Linked DNA regions of Styela clava. The protein of the gene in region 1 purifies or fractionates together with the protein of each later gene. This does not show direct contact. Links are inferred from orthologs where the notes say so. Each region holds a gene or a part of one and is shown on either strand. Other genes may lie near its edges.

What was found.
Region 2: the proteins of E3 ubiquitin-protein ligase RNF13-like (region 1) and AP-3 complex subunit delta-1-like purify together in Homo sapiens (affinity purification with mass spectrometry; 3 studies listed by BioGRID and IntAct, counting the BioPlex papers as one, with this or other methods). This does not show direct contact. The link is inferred for Styela clava from reciprocal best matches to the Homo sapiens genes RNF13 and AP3D1.

The regions. Positions count from the first base shown.
Region 1 is NC_135262.1:2,538,192-2,551,026, forward strand, and holds E3 ubiquitin-protein ligase RNF13-like, read left to right. Parts: upstream 1-6,116; 5' UTR 6,117-6,139; coding exon 6,140-7,690; 3' UTR 7,691-11,405; downstream 11,406-12,835. Other genes in the region: autophagy-related protein 9A-like, read left to right, coding at 11,458-11,575, 12,342-12,450. UniProt on the Homo sapiens protein: E3 ubiquitin-protein ligase that regulates cell proliferation. Involved in apoptosis regulation. Mediates ER stress-induced activation of JNK signaling pathway and apoptosis by promoting ERN1 activation and splicing of XBP1 mRNA.
Region 2 is NC_135250.1:30,761,315-30,774,340, reverse strand, and holds the start of AP-3 complex subunit delta-1-like, read right to left. Parts: upstream 6,412-13,026; 5' UTR 6,286-6,411; coding exon 6,184-6,285; intron 4,828-6,183; coding exon 4,732-4,827; intron 3,241-4,731; coding exon 3,160-3,240; intron 1,255-3,159; coding exon 1,066-1,254; intron 371-1,065; coding exon 241-370; intron 1-240. UniProt on the Homo sapiens protein: Part of the AP-3 complex, an adaptor-related complex which is not clathrin-associated. The complex is associated with the Golgi region as well as more peripheral structures.

The DNA.
Region 1 (12,835 bases):
TAAAAATTAGGCACCTGGGCTTACTTGACATCCTAAATTGAAGAAGAAGTGCATTACCCCCTTGCCCACCAGTTGATGCAGGATGTAACAAATTGGGTATAAGCTAGTGGTTCTTAACCCTTTATCTTTCATGGGATCTCATGTAGTTTCTTACCTAACATACTTCTAGTCGTCGTAGCATGACAATTTTTTCATGTGTCAATCCTAACCCTCACCTGACCACACCATCCAAAAATTACGTCACTACGACGTCACAATGACCCTTCAAACTATACGAACTGCCATCCAATAGGCGCGGACGAACACCCGAAATTGAACAGCTATTTTTTCTCGTCACAACGATTCCAATAGGAGAGAGATCGATAACGTCAGACAGTTCTTTATTGTCAGCGCCGATGCCATTTCGGCCGATTATACGTATATTCGGCAAGCTCTATGACGTGATTGTGATGTCGTAGTGACGTAATTTTTGGATGGCTAGTCAGATGGGGGTTAGGATTGACATATCAAAATATTGATATGCTACGCCCACTAGAAATACGTTAGGTACGAAACTATATGAGACCCATAAAACCTTTTTCATTTACTTAACTCCGGCAATATTGAATACGTTTGTAGCCCACCTGGAAATGTTTCTATGGCCCAGCAGTTGTCCGTGGTCCACTAGTTGAGAACTCACGGTATAAGAAATAATGCAAGCAATAAAGATTCATTTTTGCTTGAAGCTTTGTTTAGAATCAAAGTGTGCAAACTACCGAATAAAAAAAAACAGGGCTGCTCCTTCCCATCAAGAATAAAAATAATATTTAGCTGCAAATGGCCCAACAATGTTGTTCTAATGATCTGTTGTTCTTTATTATTGTTCTTCTACTTACAGTTGCATGCTTTGCGACGTACGGTGACCGCATGAAATTTATCAAATAAAAGTGTTGTGAACAATGTACTCGAATATGCAATCGGCAGCAAGGGCAGTGGGTTGGATAAGATTTACACTTTTATCTTCCGGGGGGAGAGAATAGCCGACAAGACGGTATAATCATATGGCTAACTACGTCCTCTCGTTTGGTTGCCAGTCCATGTCTGGTATGAAATTGAATAGCCAGTTATTAGTTCTCGAACGCATGGACTTAATGGTAGAGGAAGCCGTAATTGACCGGCGGTTTTGTGAACCACCCTACGGCGACGAGGAGTTCGCGAGCGTAAATCTGGGTATGTTCGTAGCAAAAAGCACGAGTGCGCAATCCGTTCGCACATAATTAATCCCGCATGGCCCTCGAACCCACGCAGAATAATCAGAGATGCGGTGGCGAGCGTATTCCTAATGCTTAGCACGGTGCGCCACAGCGCCGAGTTTCACTCTTTCAGAAAATAGGTCCTATTCCAGAAGCAATATATTTTGAATACAGAATTTCCAATATGTTTTTAATTGGGTTATGTTCAACGGAGAAATTTGCTTGGCGGTATGGCGCATCGTGATGTGTCAGGGGTGTGCAACAATTTTTATCGGCGGGCCGTGTAATAAACTCCAGACATCTAGCCCCGCCACGCAAAAAAACTAGGGGGAAAGGTAAGAGAAAAGAAAGCGGATATCGCTCATCCTTGCAGTAAAAAATGCGCAGGGCAAAGCAGCGAAATATCTCATGCAGCAACGATAGCAAAAATCATTTATGTATTTTAATCCATGTAAGCGCTTTTTTAAACATAAACTGTCGGATTCGGATTTTATGCCTAATGGCAGTAATGGGGGAAAATTTAGTGTTGACAAGAGCCACACTAAATGGCCTGGCGGCCTAAGCGCTGGGAATATCACACCTCTGATTACCCTCTCCTGGAGGATAATTAAGTGCGAGAGTTATACTGGCCTGGCCGCCGCCGCCGTAGGGTGGTTCACGTAACAACTGGTCGGTTACGGCTTCCTCCGCCACCAAGTCAAGCTATGTTAGCAACGTACCACTGGTCTCCTGTGTCATTCAGTTCGCAGGCGGCGTAAATCTGGGTTTGTTCGTAGCAAAAAGCACGAGTAAGCGTCTCATTTTGCGCTCTCTGTTCAATAATAAAGTCAGATTAAAGTTTGGCTCGCCCTGGACAAAGTTTTCTTTGGATACAGGTGCGACAATCCAAGTTGTCATTTTGCCTCGCTTTGGGAAGAAAGCAGAAAGCCCCCTGGAATAAGAAAATTAGAAGTTATCTGGTAACGGATAGGAATGCAGATTGCGATGGAAATTTAAATTTTTGAATCATTTCTATCGCTAACTGGATAATTTATTATTTATTATTTCAAAACCTTGCGGGGTGAGGGCTTTGTACAAAATATCCAAGTTTTCCCTCACCCTTTAATTGTGGGCATCGCAATCCACATTTTAAGTTTGGCTCTGTTCGAAAATATGCATCTACGTTCATAGGACGACAGAATTTACAATCCGAGTTTTCAGTTGGGGGTTCTGGAAAGGTAAGCACAATATCCGTTCCGATGCAGCATAATCTCGATGAATCCACAATGAGTATGTTTATGGAGCTAAACACAACTATCTAATTTCGCTAAATATGCGGCCATAACATTCCTGTGTATAACAATTGACAGTGGGTCCTGCTTGATTCGGTTTACTCGCATGTGAAAACCGCATGTGTAGACACCTCTTCCAAAACGTAAGGTTTGACTAAAAAAGTCTTAAAAAAAAAGTGGGATTAAAAGGAGATTTTATTTAGACCAGAAAGATCTAGTACATTCTTGACAAGCAGCGAATTTTCGTAATCATATGGTATTTGGTCACTTGTGGGCCGCATTCGGACAGACCCTGGGGCACAATGGGTCAATCTGTCAAAATTCAACGAAGTATTCCCTTAAAAATAACAATTAATGAGCATATTCGTCTAAAGAACAATGAGACTTCAAATTTGAAGATTTAATATTTTTAAAATCAATATTCAACTGAAATAGTTCAGATATTTTGACAAAAACTTTCGCAAACAAATTTGATTATTTCCTTCCTCGAATCTAAATCTGGAAATATTATTGATCCTCGAAAATATTTCATATTGGGCCATGGGTTGAAAGAAATCATAACATTACACAAAATATAACGCATCTCTAGGTCTCTAAGCACTTATTGTATCAAACACTGTCCAATTGTGCCCTGTAGGGCATGTCCCACTGAACCCCGGTCCATTGTTCCCCATAATAAACAAACATTTTCAGACCATCCCACGTCGAAATTCGGAAGGCACATCCACTCGCCAACGTCATGAATATTTTACAATGGACTAAAGCTGAAAAATATCAGACGGTGGTTTGTCATGTTAGAAAGGCTAAAGTAGTAAAAAGAAAAAACTGGAACGGTGAAATTTTAGTTTCAACCTCTCAAAACCAATTTCACCTCATAGCTTGCGCCGCTCTACCGTCCTCTGTCCGTTCGCGGAGACGTTATAACTCACCGAAGGGCGGATTGAAACATCGAACCGCGGACAGGATTGCGGATACAGTATCAGTGTGAGAGCTGATTCTCCACTGTGCCCCATGTCCCAACGTGCCCCACCTTCCCCTACACTACTAAACCATTGGCAGATATTTGTATTTATTGGCAGAAAATTTTATTTTTTTTTGGGGGGGGGGGGGGATATTCCAATTTAAGTTCCTGAGATTTAAACCTTTTTCCTAATCCCGATCTCGAGAATAACATATATATCTGTTGAAATCAAGTAATTTCAAGGTTGTATCCATAAACATCAATGCGGTGCAGATCTGAAGCAGTAGCCAAAATCAAGAAACAATTGTTTTGTTATTTTGTTTGTACTTTATATATATTACTTAAAATAAAAAAACTCCATCATGCACCTGGTTATAACGGTAAACTCTCATGCTTTGATATATATTCAAAGTAGGTAAACTAGCAGTATTTTGATCATATTTGGGCAAGGCCTCCACAAAATTGTTTCCGGCCCGTCAATCTTGCAACCTTGGACCAACCTGTAATAGGTGATCAAGTATAGTTTTTATTCAAACGACGAAATTATCAAAGGCCTAAATAATGCATGAAAATGTTTCAATCGAGTATGAAGCAGGGTTTGAATTATATTGTACCTGACCAGTCTTGGTTATATGGCCTGGGGAGATTTAATACCGTCCGCCACTAAAACAAGTATTGGTATTTTTAATTCACGGAGCGCCTAAATAAAACACGTTTTATGTTATTATTCTGAGAAAATTCTAGATATTTTGCAGTGAGAATAATAATACATTCAGGGGTTTAAACTCGTGTCACGCGAGAAATAATGATTTAGCAAAGTAGTCAGAACTGATGTAAATTAAATAGATACACTTTTGTTGACATGTGGAAAACTAAAACAACGTCTGGACATTTATCTCTGTATTTGCGTGTATTATTTATATAATATTTTTGACTTGTGCAGTATTAATGTAATACCTATTTATGCACGCGATAACAAACTGCCAAAAGACGACGCTAGTTGAGAGCATTGCTATCTAGTAATCTATTAAAAATTGATCTTTGTGGGGGTGAAATGGTCATGAATGTATCAAAATATGTTGTGAACCACTTTCCTAGCTTGAAAACTAAGTCTCTACTTTTATGGCACGCACCAGGTAAAATTCGTATGTATCCATTTTGCTGTTGTTGACATCGAGTGAATGTGATGTTTGGACATATCTACTCTCTCTGATAGGCTCTCGGCGCTCACCACTCAATGTTGGACATAGTGTTGCAAACACACGCAGTGTAATCAGATGTGCGGTAGCTAGCGTATTCCTAACGCTTAGCACGATGAGCCACACCACCGAGACGAGAAGATCGGAAACCTTAGTGGTGGGCCTATAGCAGAAAAGTATCGGGCCGAAAACCCCACTAGGGGGCCGCGATTTGTCATTTGAATTAGATTTATTTGGGCTTTCCACATGTGATTATTAAGAAAAAACGTTCAAACGTATCTATTAAGTACTTCCGCACTGTGGGCAAAATACTAAGCGAAACCAAAACTCGAGTTAGTTACGTCATTAACTTCTCCTCATTAAGGTTGAATTCAGCTAATTTATACTATGATAAATTATATGTTCCCTTGTAAATTTATTTACTTAAAAAATGTGTATACATGTATGAAGCAGCAAAATACTTGAATGATTATTACTATTCAAATTATAAAATACAATTTAAATAATTAAACTAAGCAATTATTGCATTTCAGTTCTATTGAAATCAATTTTAATACACTTGGGAACATGTCATTTTCCTGTGTGTGAACATAATTTAATCTTTCTCATGGGATCAAAACAAAGGTCGGTTCTCTACTTTTGTCTGTTGCTATTTTCTTTTCGTTTTGTCGTCGGCTATTTTTTGAGTAATGAAATAATTATTAGAGAGTTATGTACTTCTGGTTGTTTATCTTATAATTTCGTGATTTAGTTATTTATGTCTTCTTTACCCTTGAAGGTATTAACGGGTGAGAAGGAACGTGAAACGCCGAGCAGTGACTGACTGCTGGACTGAGGGCTTCAAAGTTCTGAAGTTGGGAGAGATTTACATATTTCAGTATTTATCATGGGTAGAAATAAGATACCGTAGGTCATTTCATCATTTGGAGAATCACAGCCTCTCGTCCAGTTACTAGTGCATGTCAGGCATTGGATTACTGGATTACAGGATTAGTTTGCCGGTACCGGTACCGGTATGCTAGTAATCAGATGAATGGACTTGATGGTCTGATGGTGGAGGAAGCCATACCGGTAACCGACCAGCGGTTAAGTGATCCAACCTAGGGCGACGAGTAATCCAGCAATATTTTTGCACATACCCTCCTCTATGGGATTAGTCAGCCAGTTCTGCAGTTATTTGTTTCAGATGCATGGAATCCACGAAACATTTTTAGTTTTTGCTTTCTTTTAATTTAATTTATAGCGCAATCAGGCATTGCTAGTTTGCCGATATGGAGGCCCAGACTGTCTTGTAATGGAGGGGTTTGCACTCACTGTTTTAATTAATGGCTATTCTTGGAATCGGACAAAATATTAATGACTCTAAAATATTTCAGAACATATTTTGAAATTTTTATTTCATCCAAGATATTTGTGCAGTATCCATTGAAAAAAACTTTCTGTTTTACAGCTGCTTAGGCAAAATATAACCTAAAAATGAGGTTTCATAATTATTTCAATATTTCTGTCTTGATATTATGGATTATCATGGTTGGATTTGACAGTACAAATGCAACCATATACGCTTTCGACCAATTCAATGAGACTGACCAGTTTGCTGATATGGAGGCCGGATTTGGTCCGAGTATTGAAGATGGGGGTATGATCGGTTTACTTGTAAGAGGAGAACCATATGACGGATGTAACCCAATGAAATCACCCCCGTTTAGACCCAGTGACAATCCGGATAATATAAGTATATCTTGCTATGCTTTAATAACTCGTGGAGGTTGTGATTTTGGAATTAAAGTATATAACGCACAAAGAGCTGGATTCCAAGCCGCTATAGTACATAACACTAATTCTGATACTCTAGTAAGAATGAGCAGTGGGTTTCCCTCTATTACAAACGAGCTTACAATACCTGCAGTCTTTGTCGGAATAAGTTCAGCTCGGAGAATGAACACGACATATCTTTATGATAAACCTGGAACACCATATGTGCAAATTTACGAAGGTTCTTTTAATCCGTTAGACTATTATCTTGTCCCATTTATTGTCGTTATTGGGATTTGCTTTGTATCGCTTTTATGTTTCATGCTTGTTAAATGTGTAAGAGATAGACGCAGAACACGGCGTAGCAGGTTATCGTTACAGCGTTTGAAGAAATTACCAGTCAAGAAATTTGACAAAGGAGATGAATATGATGTATGCGCTATATGCCTCGAAGATTATGAAGAAGGTGATGTTTTGAGGATTCTACCTTGTAAGCATGCGTATCATTGTAAATGTGTAGACCCCTGGTTAACAAGCAATAGGCGAGTTTGTCCGTTATGTAAACGTCGTGTCCTCAGCGACGATGAAAGTGATTCCTCATCGGATGAATCAAACGATACGAGCGACGATGAACAGACTCCTTTAGTTCGTTCTTCTATTGCTTCATCCCCAAATTCACCAAGATTTGCGACTGGTTACGGCTCCCGAAATCCGATCACTAGGAGGCCTCGTAACCACAGCTTTTCATCTGATACTAGCACAGATATCACTGAGGTTGCTCCTGTGTTAACCCATGGTTCCCACTGGAAAGGTTCAATGCCCGATTCTAGTGATACTGAAGTTCCACAGTCGTCAAGGGGTTATGAACGTCAGCAACTTGTAACGACACATCAAGAACCTGATCGTGATGTCACAATGGGTCTTATGAATCCAGCAATGGAACCCGACGATTTACTGACTTCCGCAGAAGCAATGATGACAGGTCCGAGAGTTTCCGAATCCTCTATTGCAGTTCTATCCGACATAGAACAGTACGGTTCCTCGCTAGGGTCTAGTTCATATTGTTCACAAGATTTCCATAGTCTCAATGAATCTGTTACTATTTCACGATCTTCTATCACCACCGCTACAAATATTGACTCCGCCCACCACCACGAAGAAAATGATGAAACTGCTTCAACATCTGGCAACAGTACTGATCAGGATGACATCATTGTTATCGCGAAGGGTTCAAAGGTTCCAACTACATTTGATGACAATAGTGAAGTCTGATTATATTAACTCTTTCATTTTATTATTCTCAAATATCAGTGTATATTGCAATTTTATGGCATGATTTAATAATCGAATACAGCTCAAGAAACTCTGTATTTGATAAAAAGGTACTCCTGTAGTATGTAAACCAGGATGGTGGACACCGAGACGTGGTATGTGGGCCAGGTTACGGTTAGGCCATAATTTCAGATACTAATACAACGTAAGTCATTTGGCTAGTCCCCGAACTTGTAATAGGACTAAAATAAGGGAAATTTGGTATATAATTATTGCCTAACCGTAACCAGGTACACATACTATGTTCAGGTGTCCGCCATCTTGTTTCACTACTGGAGCGTTAAAAAAAGTTCCATATGTGTTAATAAAGGACGCTGGCATTGGTTTAGATCAGTGTTTCTCAACCTATGGGTCGTGACTAGGGCTGGACATTTCGAATCGAATATTCCGGTCGAATTGCATAGTAAATTATTCGAATCGGTTCAGAGCAAAATTTCAAATCGCCGCCATCTTGTTTTTTTCTTTTTGCCAATGATCTAGCTAGGTGAATTCCTCATTTTTTGTTCATTGAAGTCATAATTTTTCAACGCAATTCTAACATATGACTATTCTCTGTAATGAGTTATTGATAAAACGTGTTTGTTATTGTGTGTGAACGCTCAGTAATCTATCTGAGTGATGTATTCTATGTCTTCAGTAAATCATTTGGAGGACCAACTACTATAAAAAAGTCGCTTACAATTATATATTTCCAAGTATTCGAGATTCGATTCGAAAAAATTATTCGATTCGATTCTGGAATCAGAAGGTATTCGAAAATGCCCAGCCCTAGTCACGACACAGAACTGGGTTATGAAAAATGATTGTTTCATATAAGTCATTTAATTATGCCATTATAAAAGTATTACATGTCGTTTAGTATTTGAGCATATCCTTGGATCGCGAGGTTTTACAAAGTTTATTTTTAAAAAAATTGGGTCGTTTGAAGAAAAGGTTGGTAACCACTGATTCAGATCTCTGGTTGACAACCAGATTGACTCTAATTCCAAACTATATTTTCCCCTTGGCTAACAAACTTTTTTAATTGGAAGTGAAATTGGAAGTTTTTGATTGGAAGTCTACAATTTTCATATCTGAGCTAAAAAATAACCTGGTATTGACAAAAAATTTGACTCCCCTCCATTTGAAAATTACCTGCTGCTCCCCTGCTTTGGGGGTTCCATCGATCTGGTCTTGGTGAATATTATATTAAATCTATTTCGAAAAATTCACATCAATGAATCTTGAATTCTGATGTATATTTAGTCATTTTTTCTGTTTGTTCCTAATATTGAAAAATTTGTTTTCAAATTCAAAATATCTTAATATTTTCACACTCTGGTTTATATTTTTTATGGCCATGTTTAGTTGAAATGCTTGAGAGGTTGCTTTGTCACATGAATGCAGCAGTGAACAGGTAGTCATTTTCTGGCGTGATTGATTGCTTTTTTGTTTTTTTTTCTTGAATATTTTATCAAAGTGTCATGTTAATGCTAGGTGTATTTGTCATGGCATAAGGTCTATTCCATCACCTGTACTAGGGGTGCACAACTCAAATGAGGATACGTGCCAAATTTTTCAGAATAATCTTGTCGCGTGCCACGCACAATTGTGGTATTGTAAATTAACTCCCGCAAAACAAACAAATTTCAATAATAATACATAATAACGGATATCTATTTGTTGAAACAATTTAATGTCCTGAAATACTGCTGATTTTGATATAAACGTGTTATTTTAATGTATATCATAAATAATTTTTTTTTTACCCGTGTTGTGCACCCCTGACCTATACTATTGAGAAATTTTCAGAATATGGACCAGAATATACAATATCCTTTATTCATCTAAAGATTTTGAATTGGGAAATTGATTCTGAATTGTAATATGTGAATTATAAATAGGGTGTTAAATTGCAAAGAAGGGAATTCATCGATACCATATATTGTTTTGGCCCTCACAGATGTATAACTGATTAAAAAACAGAATATACTGAGAACTTACTTCATAACAAAATTGAAATTGTAAAGCAGGGGTCTCCAACTCAAAACATGTCGCGGGCCACTTTTTGAAATTTATTGAAAACGCGGGCCGCAAACCAAGAAATTAGGTACAAAAATGGGTATCTGAATGTATTGTGTTAAAATTACACTTGAATCTTACAGCAAACGAGACATGAAACACATTCATATGCAAATGCTCGTCCGTTAGTCGTGTGCGGAGGGCAGACTTGCTAACTTTCATATATAAGAATTGCCAAAAATCGCAGGTATGCAAAGTGAATGTGCAATTAGCTTTGCAAACCTTTCTTCGGGCACAATGGACTGACCGAAACTCGCTTATTTTGTCACAATGAACATGCGAAATGAAATTATCGCATTCATAATTGCATTATAACAATATAATAAAACATGAACGTGGACAACAGGGGGGAATTTTGCTTCGCTTTTTACAGTTTGTCGGACCGGACTCTTGATGATAAATGACACAATAAAACCTACTAATAGTTTACATGGTACTATTTTAGTTTTTTGTGGAAAAATCCCAACCATGACGCGGGCCGCAAATCACTGGCTGGCGGGCCACATGCGGCCCGCGGGCCGCGTGTTGGAGACCCCTGTTGTAAAGGGACTTTATAGACATCCTGTATAATAAATGGTTGAAATAACAGTCAAATGTCTGTGACTTTATTTGTGCATATGTATTTGACACTTCATTGGTGTGTGTGCTTGGTATACCAATAAATTTAAGTTTGCTCACATTCATTTGGTTGCATTGAAATTACATAGACTCCTTGCCATTATCTCATTTTCTGAGTTTTTGAATTCAATGGGATATTGTTAATTATATATTTCTATGATTATTTTTTTCATCCGTTAATTATTAAAAGTCAGTGGTTTCCATTCGACTGCCGGAATATTCAATTGTTAAAATTATTGATTGCTCATTTATATGACATGTTTTCACTCATTTATTTTTAGTTCTTTGACAAACAGTAAATCCCAAAAAGTTAGCAAACATTTCCTCAATGTTTTCATGTTATCGCTTGAATCGTAAATATAAATTTTGAGTCTTTAGCTTGGTTGTTCTCAAACTTTCTCGATTTCCAACTCTTAGCTTCTACCTGTGGATTGTGGCCAGTAGCTTGTCAAACTTTTCTGTGTCCAGGATGAATTTGTGATATTGCTGCCCCATATAGCCTACATAACTTCAAAATCAATTTGGGGGGTAAACAAATTATAGATAATGGTATACATGGGAATGAATCTTTTCAAGGTCAAGTAAGAGTGAAATGTTTGTAATATTATTATTTAAATCATCAAATCACCTGGGACAGCTGCAGAATCCTATTGTGTTTATAATATTGTTTCAATGATTAAATTCAAGTGTCCTATGACCCCTGATTGTTAAAAAAATTGTTTTGAAATTGATTATATTAAATGCTCCGGAAGTATGTGTACCAAGATGACGCACAACCTGAACCCTAGACTGGTATACATAACTATGTTCAGGTTGTGCGCCATCTTGGTACACATACTTTGGGAGCACCTTATATTATTATGTGATGATGATTTTAACTTGTTTCGTATTTTCGATTTCTTGTAAATATCCATTATATTATTACTTCTATAATCTCTGAAATCTAACAGTTTTCGCCATGTTTAATTTTCTCAGATGTGTTTTCTGAAATTTAAAAATACATTTCGATTTTTCCCGGGGAGATAAAAATGTCGAATTTAGAAACTAGTTATCGACGTTTGGATTCAACTGAAGAGGAAGATGGGGAGGGGGATTCCCCTCCTGATGGACAAGCATTTTTGGTTCATGTTCCTGATGGAAATAAAGGTATAATTTAGGATAATTTGTGGGTAGTTGGCATTACGGATAAAGAGTTAGACTTAACTGCTACTCATCTTGAGGTCAAACCCCATGCCCCCCGCGTCACCCGAGGTGTGATAAATTGGGTTGGCAATGTTAAACCGTGAAGATCCCGGATTTTCTGAAAAATAGCAGCTTCTAACATACCGCTAGATATTGGTGGCTAGTCGTACAGAGCCATGTTTGTATCAAAAGGCATAAATATCTGCCGTATATAAAAGAAATGAAAGAAAAAAATTATTGAGAGAATACCAAAACTGAATTAACTACCATTATGGATACATTTTTTTTTGCAAACTGAATCCGGCCATTTCTAACTAGGACACAGTATAGGAGTCAAAATTGATTTGATAGTTTTTGTTTTTTTTGGAATGGAACATATTCTGGAGAAAAATCAATTTCTGATCAAAATGTCCTAGATTGGTACTCCTTTTGTGTCTGTACCAGGTTAATTTTATTCCGATTTATTTTAGTTCTATTATGAGTCCGAGGAGTCGTGTTAGCCAAGTGAATATACTCCTGCCCATAAGTTTCAGTCCCTTTACACCACTTGATGTAAAATAGGCAAACAAAATTTTTGTACACATACTTCTGGAGTGCCTCTAGGTTACTGAAACATACACAAGTTCAAGTTGAATAATTTTTCTTCATTTTCGTAGGAGAAGTTTATTAGTTCTGTTTTTTGGCTCACCCTGTATTGATAGCCATTTTCATTAATCGTTTATTTTTTTAGCTCGTTGGCACCACATAGAAGACTTAGACGCATTCTTCACAAGGGTATATCAGTATCATCAAAATCATGGATTTGGATGTATGATGCTGCAACAGTGCTTTGAATTATTGTAAGTATATTAGATGCTTATATTTGTAAGTTCTCTTTCATAATAAATTTTTGTCTGTTTTGTCTGTCTCGACATTTTCAAATATCTGATGGTTTCAGAATCGAATCTAATATTTATTTAAAATCGAATCTTGAATACTTGAATAAAAAAATTTTCTCTTCTAATTACCGTAACTACCTCACCAATAGCTTTGAAATTTTCAGTGGCTAAGGATTGTATTTTTTGTTAGAAGGCTATTACTTTGCGTTAGTCGTTAAGTTTTGCGGTAAGTTTTGGATTTCGTGTCCATTTATTTGAGCATAGCTCTCTTATTATTATTGCCATACATATTTATACACGTGCTGCAAACTATTAAAAATCCAGAGTTCAAATACGCATATCACCA
Region 2 (13,026 bases), on another chromosome or scaffold:
TTGTTTGTTCATTAGAAAATTGTTTATTTCCCAAGCTCGCACTGACAGTGCGGTGAGAGTAGAGCGATCGGCAACTTTCAGGAATGATGCGTCGGACCATATTACAGAGTGTGGTTGGATACAGTCAGCGGGTCGTTCAAAATTCCGGGCTGTATGTTGCCCACCCCTGCCCTAACTCAACAGTGATTGCTTATACTGAGACTTTTTCAGAGTAAAAAGTAAAAAAAAAATTACACCAACCTTGATCAGGGTCCTCCAGCTTTTCTTTTAATCTTGGAAACGCAGGTCGAAGAGCGTCAGGATAAGCAAGGAATATTTTATATGAAATAAGGACGGCTCGTTTGCGAATGTAGGGACGAGTGGATGACATCTGAAGAATAAAGATTTTTTATTAATTATCAAATCGGGGGTTATCAATCTTTTTTGTAGAGGCATTTCAGAGGCATAAGAATAGAGGTCCCTGTGTAATAGTATGAATTGTATAAAGTATAACTACATATTTATCTACATAAGGTGTCCAAAAAGTATCGCCTGAGTTTATAGTAAAACAGTTAAAAATTTCTTTGTCTTTGTTTATTAATAGTTCTTATTGTGCTCGTAGTTCTCACTTATCAATTTATCATACTATAAAATTTATTCGAACTTACAGTTGTTATTATGAGCGATATTTTTAATTGTTATTACTAAAAAATCGAACAAATTTGTATATATTTAAGCAAATCTAATACTGGCAAAACAAAATGATCTTTAATAAAGTGTAGCAAGTTAATGATATAAGTAAATTAGCAAACCTAATAAAGGTATTTGGTTGTATTTAAACAATATATATATATATATAATAATTTAGACTCTAAGATTTAAGCGGATACTTGCGGAATTTCTGTGCTGCACTGACGTAACCAGGGTAGAAAACTACTGAATTAAGTTTGGCTCATGTGCAAAATAATATCTGTCCAAATTCTGGTAATTGAGTAACTACAGGCCTCTGCCTGCATATTAGTGTATGATTGAGACACTATAGCATTGCCTGTACAACTTTGATCAGAAAGTCATCAAAAAACTCACCAAAGCCAGAATATCGTTGACTAAATCTCTTGCTAAATCCGGAGTAATGAAGCATGACAGTCCGCTGAGAGCGACTCCTGTATCGTACATTGTCTGCGATCCGAGATCTTTTCGAATCATATTCGTTGTCAACATGAGAACGTCGGTTTCAGAGTGGAATGATTGAGATGCAGCGAAATATCCGATTCTCTGAAACAGAAAAGAATGATTAATTCTGTGAGGCGTTTTCGCAGTCTAGCTTTGTGCGATCAGGTACCCTGTCATCCTATGGTTGTGTGTGTGGGTGCGTGTGAGCGTGTGTGAAATATTTCCATTATTTTAGGTGAGTGAACACGTACCACTTCTTCTAGGCCAGTGGTTCTTAAACTTTTTCGAGCGCGACCCAAATCTGAGTTTTATGAATACTCGCGACCCAATCCTAAATAACGCAAAATGTGTTTTTAATGTTAGTACAGTTTGACTCAAATACAGACAACTATTTATTAGAAACAGTCCATTGACTCAGTGAGATTGATGAAACTGAAATTTCCTTTTCATTATATCTTCAATACACAGCTCTATTTTACATAACGCAATACGCAAGTTGTCACGGGTATCGAGGCGATTGCGAGCTTAGTTTTGATAACCGTCAGTGCCAAATATCCTCGCTCGCACAAATGCCTTGTCGCGAATTGTAGCAACAGAGGCGTCCGCTGTCCGTCGCAAACACGACATCCTAGCTGGCCTTCGGTATCTCTCGCAATATACAACTTTTTACTCATCAAATGTGCACACACCGCTTCGTTCGCGGTAAATGGTGCCTCGAGATGAAGTCACATTTTTTCTAGATATTGAATAATCTAATGTCGAGAAGCGAGCTTTTTCATTGCGTCGTCTATTACAATTTACAATACCAAAACGACACCCATTTTTGGTTATTTTAATCCACTAAGACGACATTCCACGCGGTCAACACAACGTTGCATGGTTACCGTTACCATAAAAATAATACACGTGACTGGCATATCAGAATTGTGATGTAACAATGAGCTCAAGACAGTTCTTTCCGTGAATGAAATTTTATATTCCATTATTTTTAAATACCAGAGTTTGGAAGCTAAATTGAAACATTGGGAAATCTGAAAATTCGTCCGTCTCCTCTTAGATTGCCCTTGCATTAACGACCTTGTCGCGACCCATTTTTAAACCTTCCGCGACCCATGTTTGGGTCGCGACCCATGCTTTAAGAACCACTGTTCTAGGCAATACCTTCCCTCTTGTATACATTCAGTACGTTTTAAACCTTATCTAAGGTTTTGTTTGCTCTCCTGATTTCTTATACTTATATTTATCTGTATTAGTTGTCATAATGAAATGAATGCTTGACAAGACAGAGTACAAATATTTGTTAGGGCTGAACAAAGCCTTCTGTAAGCAACTACTCAAATATGAGGTGCTACAACTTTATCGGAAGGGCAGCGATCTTTCATGTTCAACTTTGGGTACCTCCGTAGTGCATGCGTACCAGGTAGTCCCTGCCCATAGGCTTCAGTCCCTTTACAAAACTTGATGTAAAGGAGGCGAACAAAATTACCTCCATATTGGTACACACACTCCTAGAGTGCCCAACATTGTCTATGTAATTCAATTAGGTGTTTTCTTAATACAGCTGTTTACTAGGTAAAAGAGACTGTCATGAGATATAAACAGCTTTACAGCAGTATCTAAATAATTCAGACATGATTGGTAACTTCTATGACAGGATAGCCAGAACCAAACAGTTTATCATTTCAACTACATTCTGTAATAATAATTTATTCTAAGCCGAATAATTTTTAATATAAAACAGTCAATTTCCATTTAATGAGATTGAATACGATAATGTCGGAGAGAATTGAGATGATTAATGATTTAATTGGCTTTCTCTTTTATAAAGTTTTAAGAAATTAAAAGTGTGAAAACTGTGAGACATGAATTGCTCAAAATGAATCTGAAATGAAAATATTTCTAAAATTTTTACACTGAATGATAGAATCTGCATTTACTTATGAATATCTACATTTTCCTACCCAAAATAAATTTGTGAATTAAATGCAATGCAACCATCGTACCAACCTTGAATGTGAACTTTGGTGAACTCATGACTTCGATGATATTGAAAGCTGCCCAACTGATGTCATACCCAAGCATTTGAAGCTGAAAAGAATAAGACAAAGTTAGGTATAGAGATGGATGTATCGTCCCATACACCATTTGAATTTCCTACCTCATACAGGGATATTATGCTTCCATATAAGCAGTTCTTTAGATATAGGGATGGATGTATGATCCTAATTACCATTTGAATTTCTGTATAGTGCTATACAGAGCTGCTATTGGGCTGACATAAACAGAAGGTTGATAATATGGTCCCAACCACCATTCAAATTGCCTCCCTGACTTGACTGCCATATAGACAGCAGGTAGGAATCGGGATGGATATGCGGCCCTACTCGCCATTTAAATGGCTTCCTCCATAGCAGGCTGCCTGACTGCCATATAGACAGCAGATTAGGAATAGGGATATGGCCTCCTCTATACAGGGCTATTGTGTTGTAATATAGACAGTAGATTATGGAGTATATTATGACCCTAATTGCTCGAATTTGAATTCGCTTGTTTTAATTAAACATGAATTCGCTTAAAGGGAACTCGGTTAACGAAAAGGCTTCTCTTTAATTCATAATATTAACCGGTGGAGCGCTTTCTCGAGTATCTATGCCGTTTTAAATGGGTTATATGAAAGGCTAGGGCACATAACTTGTGAAAATCGGCAAAAGCACTTTCGCACTTTTTTTTTCGACTGCGAAGCACTTTCGCACTCATAATTTGCTTAGAGTTAACACTGATGTGGACCCCATCGCTATTCGAATGGCCTCCACTATATAGGGCTATTGAGCTTCCATATAGACAGTAGGTTAGAAATGGAGGTGGATATAATATATCGAACCATATTATGGTCTCATAGATCAGGGCTACTCAACTATTTTCACCGAAGATCCGCATGCGAAAATTCAAAATTATTTGGGTCCGCACTTTCCAGAATTTATATATCGGCATCCTTAAACGCACACTTCCTCGACCGGCTAATGATTATTAGCTAATCAAAATTGCTTATTATGGTGTTATAGTTGTTTTCATATATATTCAAAACTATAAGTCATTTTATAAAAGGAAACTTCAAAAGTGGGGCTAATGATCTAAAATAAAGAATTAGGTGCGGTCCGAATCAAATACTCGAAAGGTTCGATTTCGGACCGCGGTCCGCCAGTTGAGTAGCCCTGTCATAGATCATTTGAATGACCACCCCTGCAATAGGCTATTAGGTTGATATATAGACAGTAGGTTAGGAATAGCGATGGATGTATGGCCCTAATCGTCATTTGAATAGCCCCCTCTGTGGAGGGCTATTGGGCCGTCATACAGACAGCAGGTTAGGAATAGGGATAGATATTAGGCCGTGGCATAACAGCTGGTTTGGTTTTTAGGGCAGTTATACAAGATGTAATGCGACGTATTATGTGAAGAATTGCCTTCATAAACTCATAACTTTGCTCAGATGTGAGTTTCCTTTACTTCTGAGTGAGGACAACCTTACTTTGAGGAAATATTTTTTAAAAAAAAATAATATATTAACCGGCAACTCACATAGATAAGCTTGTTAACAGCATTTGCCTTGATTGCCGCATTGTCTTGCTTCAGTTCACTTTTGATTTCTTCAACACAACCAGCGATGTAGCGAGACTGAATTACAAAAAAGTATGTTCACACTTTGGATAGGTCTCAATTAGGCTTAAGTCACTCTATTCGAGATCAACTTTAGTCAAGATTTATCAAACACATACTCTGAGTTGGTCATCAAAATGAAATGGCTCGAAGTTGACAAACCCCCAATGAGAATTAACTCAGTGATTGACTCGCCTCTAGTTGGAATCGAGTCACCTTTAATCAAATACTCAAGGTGACTCAAGTTATCTGAATAGAATGACTCGTAGACTAACTCTCAGTCCAGTCTGGAATTCATGACCTTTTTCCATGAGAAATCGGGTGCAATCAGTGACTGCAGCACTCCAAATGTCTGCATCCGCGTGCAAAATTACTAAAACTGCGTGAAAACCTAGATTCTCAGCGTGCAACTAACAGAATGGCCATATCGGAAAAACTTTGAATAAACAAGTGTGATAGGCTATTATTTTAACGGGGTGCTTTGACGCAGAGTTCCATCTAGCAAATGACGAAGGCGATCCGATTGCATATGCCAAAGGTCAATTAATCGAACAATTATGTTCAGGAAACAAAAAAGTCTCGCATTTCAAGAGAGGCCCATTTAGCTGTTAATCGGCGTGGGTTATGGCATGTTCTTGATGCCGAAAGGTCAATTTGTAATATTAAAACTCATCAGCACTGTTTATTGGTGGCTGTTTCATTCCACCACCCTCCAGACTGTCATATATAACGGTGGACAATCCCAAATTTTCCGGCGTGTAAAATGGAATTTCGCTCGCATGCATTTTGAGGGAGCATTAGCAAACTCAGGTGTGCACCTGCCATGGCATCCAGTCTGGTCCTCAGTAAGACTCAAATGTGATAGACTTAACAACAAATACTAGGATAACCTTTGACCTTACTCGGCTTGTGACTCTGGGTTTCAGTGCATATAAATTCACCAACAATAAATTTTTAGGGGGGGGGGGGGGGAAGTAGTTAATAATAAATGCTACTAGTTTAATTAACCACACAGTCATATTTGATAGTAGGTTCATGATTTTTTTTCTAAATTCAAGATATCTTGAATAAATAAAATGATAGATGAAAGAATAAAACTTTTCCATTATAAAATCAGAACCTTTCCAATTCTGCCTCGCCAACCCAATTTTATAATAAATGATTGATATTGAGTTTTAAAAATTAAAATTTATTCCCTGTCCATAACAGCAAGTCTCTGTACATATGTGCGAATTTTTTTCTGGTATGGTACTGTCCACCCAATTTATCACATAGGAAATGCATATTTGATTTTCAGCAATTTTCCCCTGGCTGAGAATTGCATTGCAATGACACAAAAAAAAAATTCAGAACACAAACAAACAAGACACAAACCTCCGACTCCTTATGATTCCGAATTCCTCTGACAAGATCCTGCATATTCTTATCAAACATTCGATCCAAACTTCCCTTCACTTTTTTCAGTGTAAGAGCCATCTTGCTGTTTTGTTCAGCTGAAACTCCTATTGATAAATCCCAACCAATTTTAATGGTGTTTTTTGCTGATTTAAAGACTAATTTATTTAGATTTTATTTTCAAATTTTACCATTGTAATTCCTGTAAACACTGATTAAATACAGACATTGGAAATATGCAGTTGAGTGATCCAAACTTCCATAAATTTTCCTCTTCCCTTCCCTTATAAAATATTAGACTATAACAGTATAATGTTAAGAACTGGTTCCACAATCGGGGCTCCCGAAGTATGCGAACCAAGATGGCGACATCAGAATGTAATATGTGTACTAGGTTAGGGTTAGGCCATAATTTTAGGTATAAATACTACGGGAGGCTCTTGGCTAGTCTTCGAACTGATAATAGGACTAAAATAAGGAAAATTGGAAAAAAATTATCGCCTAACCCTAACCTGTTACATTCGGATGTCCGCCATCTTGGTTCGCATACTTCGGGAGCGCCCCACAATCATTACATTAATTGTTATATATTCGTGGAAAAATTTATCATCAACATCTGAATTTTACTACCAAAACAGTCAGACAGTAGAGTTATATTATTAATATTTAAATTTGTTTCTTTTTCTTGTTTGCTTTTTTGTTTTTAGAGTATAAGTATAAGTATAAGTTTATTTCGACTCCATAATCAGCATAACAATACATTTGACAGATAAAAACAAATAAATAAAAACAAATAAATAAAAACTGATTATGAAATCAGGGGAGCAAACAAAACCTTAGATAAGGTTTATAACGTACAAAATATAAGATGGAAGGTTTTGCCAAGAGGAAGTGGTACGTGTTTACTCACCTAAAATTATTAAGTTATTTCACACACGCTCACATGCACCCACCAGCCACACACACACACAACCACTGAGAAGTTATTTAAGTAAGAATAAAACGCGATAAATTTAGGGTATACTATACAGTAAACAAAAAAAAAATAAATAAATAAATACTGAAATACTAGAAAAGAAAATTATCTGCCACACCATATTGATATTTTTGTAATGGTTGCCATTGCCAAATTGATCGATCTTCTAATCGTTAATTAAGATATAAAAGGAAGATTCTATTGAAAACATATTGCCAAGCTGATTATAGTTGGAGTCAAATTATAGTTGGAGGTAAGTTACGTCGTACTGTAGCACTCATACCGGTACTGTCGCTTTAAAATAAAATATCCGTCTATTAATCTACTTGTTACCAATACGGTACCGGTACATTGGCCGATTCGGCGTTATCTTCAGTTGTTAGCATTTCAGCATTTGCTGTGAAGTCTAAGATATCGAAAAGTCACATGAGCGCTTATCGGCACCGGTAGTTACATTTCCGCAGCGTTAAGTATCCTTGTGAGTACTTACTTATCATGTATTGAAACAGAGAAAATATCTTTTACAAATCAATGCATGAAAATGTTTAAAATCACAAAAAAAAATCGACGAAAATCAAGAAAAAATCGACCGGCGGATTGCGAACCTTTCCGCTTCATCAAGTTTCCGATTCGCCGTGGCAGAAAGGTCGTGAACTTTTATCAATAGTTTTTTGGGTATTGATCAGAGTCTAGTTTTCAAATTGACTCATGAAACTTGTAAATAGAAGGCAACAGTTCATTCTAAAAAATATATTTTATTCGTTCGCAAACATTAAAACAATACAATTTATAAAAATGAAATAAAGATTTAAAATGTTGAAGTCATCAAAGTCAATTACCACTCAAAGACAAATGCATAAATAAATAGTTGAACAGGTTTAAATAATAGGATGATTAGAAAGAAACTTTCCGTATGGGATAATTTGCATCGCGTAGCACAATAAGGGTATATTTCTCAAAGATTGACCTCCAATATATTGACGTTTATTACTTGCCAAAAATGGTTAAATATCGATCGAAATTTAACGTCAAAAATTATGATTGCCGTTATGATCGTCTAGCTCAGTGTCTTTTAATCGGAGTTCGATCAAACCTCTGAGTTTCGGTGAAGCCGTTACAAGGTGGTTCGACAATATCCTCTGAAATATTGATATATTATGAAGTTATATTTATATTATCAAACATATTATTTAAAAAGATAACTATAGTTAGATAAGATAAGTTTATTTCGACTTCATAATCAGCAAAAAGGCAATAAAACGGTTGATAAAAACAAATAAATAAAAACTGATTATGAAATCAGGAAAGTAAACAAAACCTTAGATAAGGTTTAAAACGTACAGAATATAAAATGGAAGGTATTGCCAAAAAGAAGTGGTGCATGTTCACTCACCTAAAACTATTGAATCAAATCGTACACACTCGCACACACACAACCATAGGGCAATAATCAAGTTAGAACTAAGAGAGAAGCTTTCAATCAATCAATCATTTATTTCATTACTCTGACAAAAAAGCAAAACAGCACAAAAAGTAGACGAACAAACAAAATGCAGAGATACCTGGAAAGCGAGCATAACTTAAAATAAAATTAAAAAACATCAAAGTACGCGCCCGCCCACCAAAAAAAAATTCCAACAATACAAAAAAACACGATTCAGAATCGTGCAATGCTTTTCAAGGGATCTTTGGATAAATTATATTATATGGCAACAAAAAATAAACACGTAAAGAAGAAATTAGAATAAAAGATAGGAAATATAATAAAAATAAGAATTGCTCGCCACACCATTTTAATAATTTCATAAAAATTCCCAAACAAGAGTGAACAGTATTTAATATAAGGACAAAAAAAAAGATTTCGCCAAGCTGATTATAATTGGAGTCAAATGCCAAATTGCCGACCAAAATTGCCAAAGTTGAGTGCATGAAGAGGTGGGATAAATCTTTTCATTTACCAAGGACACACCAAAATATTGCCAAATTGTAGTCCAGATTACATTAATTATTAAATATTACTGGTAACAGTTAAAAAGTATAATATAATTAGAATAGGGGTTCACTGATATCGAACTCTCACGTATAAACAACTCATGGACAATGTTAATTATGTGTTGTTTAGCGCAGATATAAGTGTTAGTGAACCTGCCAATGTCTGTTATAGTTGACATGGACAAACTACGACCCGTGGGACAAATCCGGCTTTTTGAGTAATTCAATATGGCCTGCATGATGCTGTTACAAACAAATTAAAATCAGAATTTTGATGTTCTAGCTAAAAATAGCTCTAGGAATTTGTTGAGATTTCGATTAAATTTAGTTTTGGCACGAGGCTTGTTTCCCACTTTTTCTTTTGTAACACTGCCAATAAAATTCTGTTCATGATATGTAACTTTTTACATCACACTTACGCGGCCCGCCAGTCAAGATGGGCAACATTTTTGACCCCTGGTTCAAAAGCCTTGCCCACCCTTGCTGTTGTAGTTGACAAGAATCTTTGAAGGCTGATACCTAAATGAATGGAGACATCAACGTTTTCAAACCTTTCAGCTTCGTGAGTTGCAATTTTATTAAGATTTTTTCGACCCGTATGACTTGTACAACAAAAGCGTCTTCTCACAAATACAAGTCAACGCCATTGTGGCCTAACAATGATTTTTCGACACAGCGTAATGATATCTAAGATTAATGGTCGTGGTGATACCAAGTTACAAGACGACTGAAACATTGCAATATCTCCCGGGCTGTTTTTTAGATGTTTTATAGTAAGATCTAGATAGGATAGGATTTACATATTTATCCAAGGGGAAGGAAAGCCCCTAAGACGGCTTAATCATATGGCAAACCACGGCCTCTTGTCCGGTTACCATTCCAAGTCGGGGATGGGATTATTTAGCCAGTTTTGGCAAGCATACCTTGATGGCAGAAGAAATCGGCCAGCAGTTTATCAACTCCGAATGATCTTAGATATCTGCTATGATGTTTACAATTTGGTATCCTGAGTCAGAGTCAAAAGTTTCCGTTCAGTTATGGGTGGTTCACGTAACCGCTGGTCGGTTACGGCTTCCTCCACCACCAAGTCCATAAGTATAAGTATAAGTTTATTTCGACTCCATAATCAGCAATAGACGATAAAAAAATAGATAAAAACAAAAGTAAAAGTAACTGATAACATGCTTCCGAACATGCTTCCGAAAACAAACAATATAACTAATCCCATACCTGACTTGGAATGGTAACCGGACGAGAGGCCGTGGTTCGCCATATGGATGAGCCGTCTTATCGGCTTTCCTCTCCCCCGGGATAAATATGTAAATCCTATCCTATGGATCGAAGTTTTTTTCCCCAAATCGTTTTAATGGCGGCTAGATGTCGCTACAGATCCAGTGCAAAACCATTTTCGAAGTTTTTTTAGATGTAACTTATCTGAATATTGCAGGATACAGGACGATAGATCTTAAAGATCAATACTTGTGTAATAAAATATGTGGATACGAATGATCAATATTATGGAATTTTTTATCTGTATGTAATGATCTATGTTATTATTTTATTTAATATCAAAAAAAAATATGTGGCTACATTAAATATACTGATATAGGCTAGGTAATTCGACTTGTTTTGTTGTCTACCAAGTCCTACAAGAGTGGTGACTCTTCTACGGCCCATGGGCCGGGGCCACGGCCCATCTAATTTGGCCACATAGCTTGATGGGCCACGGCCCCATCGGGAAAAATTCAATTATCTTACTGAAATTTTCAATTTTTACAGAATTGTCAATATTCGAACCGAAAAAAATTGCGAGATGCCACCAAATTTTTTTCTTACGATAAGCCTTTATATTTAAAATAAGCAAAATACCAAGCAACAGAAAAGAATACTCCTGTAGTATGTGTACCACCACTGTGAAGCTAGCAGCACTTTCAGCCAGAATATTTTTATACATTGAATATAGGTTCCACGCGCATATATTGTTCACTTATAAGGTAAATATGAAAATTGAAAATGCTGATCAAAATATAATATTGGCACGAAAATAGATGAAAAATTCTTAAACTGAATGAATACATTAAATTTAACAAGAAATTAGTGTTTAAAAAAAGACTAACTAAGCGAAAAATGAATTTTCAGGTATTCCGCAAATACGAATTTTCGGAAAATTATCCTTTTCGGAACCTCGATTCCTCGAAAACCGCCAATAAAGGCAGCACCACGACACATTTGGAAAAAAGCAGATACCCTATAAATTCGATTTTTCTATAACAGAACAGTAGCAGTACGTTTTGGCTTGACCATATATATTACCAAACATATCGTGTAATCTAAATTTTAATAACGGCATGGACGTAACAAATTCAAATTGATTTTGTATTTCAAATAAATTTGCTAGATAATGGATAAAATATCATTTTCTTTTTGTCACACATTAATACTGTACATCTTTTAAACTTGGAATACGTTGCGGGAAGTATAAAACAGCAAAAAATCATTTGCGACTCCTAGTGAATTCTGTCCTGGATTACAAAAAATTATCGTTTTTAAAATGGCGATTTTTCGAAAACCGCCAATAAAGGCAGCACTACGACATATTCGGATAAAAGCACATACATTATAGATTCGATTTCATTATGCCAGAACAGTAGCAGCACGTTTTGACTTGGCCATATATAATACCAAACATAGCGTATATTCCTCGATTTTTAAAACAAAGGTACGTAACATATTAAAAAAAGGTTTGTATTTCAACTAAAGTTGCAGGATAATTGATCAAATATCTTTTTCTCTTTGTCGCACATCAATACTGTACATTATTAAAGTTAGAATAAGTTTCAGAAAGTATAAAATAATAATAAAAAAAATTTTGCGCACCCCCTTGAATTAGTTTGAGAATTTCAAAAATTATCGTTTTTGGATTGGTGATTTCTCAAAAACCGCCAATAAAGGCAGCATCACGACACATTCAGAGAAAAGCACATACCTTATAGATTCAATTTTATTATGTCAGAACGGTAGCAGAACGTTTTGACTTTGCCATATATAATACCAAACATAGCGTATACTCTTCAATTTTATTAACAATGTGGACGAAACAAATTTAAAAAGGAATTGTATGTCAACTAAATTTGCTGAACAGTTGATAAAATATATATTTTTCTCTTTGTCACACATTAATACTGTACGTCTATTAAACTTAGAATGAGTTGCAGAAGAAAAGTATAAAATACCAAAAAAACATTTTACGCCCTCTCGTGGCTTCTTTCAAAATTTCGAAAAATTATCGATTTTGGAAGGGGAATTTCTCGAAAACCGCCAATAAAGGCAGCACTATGACACATTCGGAAAAAAGTATATACCCTATAGATTTGATTTCACTATAAAAAAACAGTGGCAGCATGTTTTGACTTGGCTATATATAATAATACCAAAATAGCGTGTATTCTCAGTTTTATAAACATTGTCGACGTAGCAAATTTAAGATGGATTTGTATTTCAACTGAAGCTGCTGGAAATTGATCAAATATATTTTTCTCTTTGTCACAAATGAATACTGTACGTTTATTAAACTAAGAATTAATTGGGAAAGTTTAAAATATAAAAAAAAAACATTTTACGCTCTCTATAATGGGTTCTTTTCTGAATTCCGAAAAATAATCGTTTTTGAAAGGGCGATTTCTCAAAAACCGCCAATAAAGGCAGCACTACGACACATTCGGAGTAAAGCAGATACCTTATAGATTTGATTTCATTATGTCAGAACAGTAGCAGCACGTTTTGACTTGGTCATATATGATACCAAACATAGTGTGTATTCAAAATGTTATAAACAATGCAGACGTAACATATTT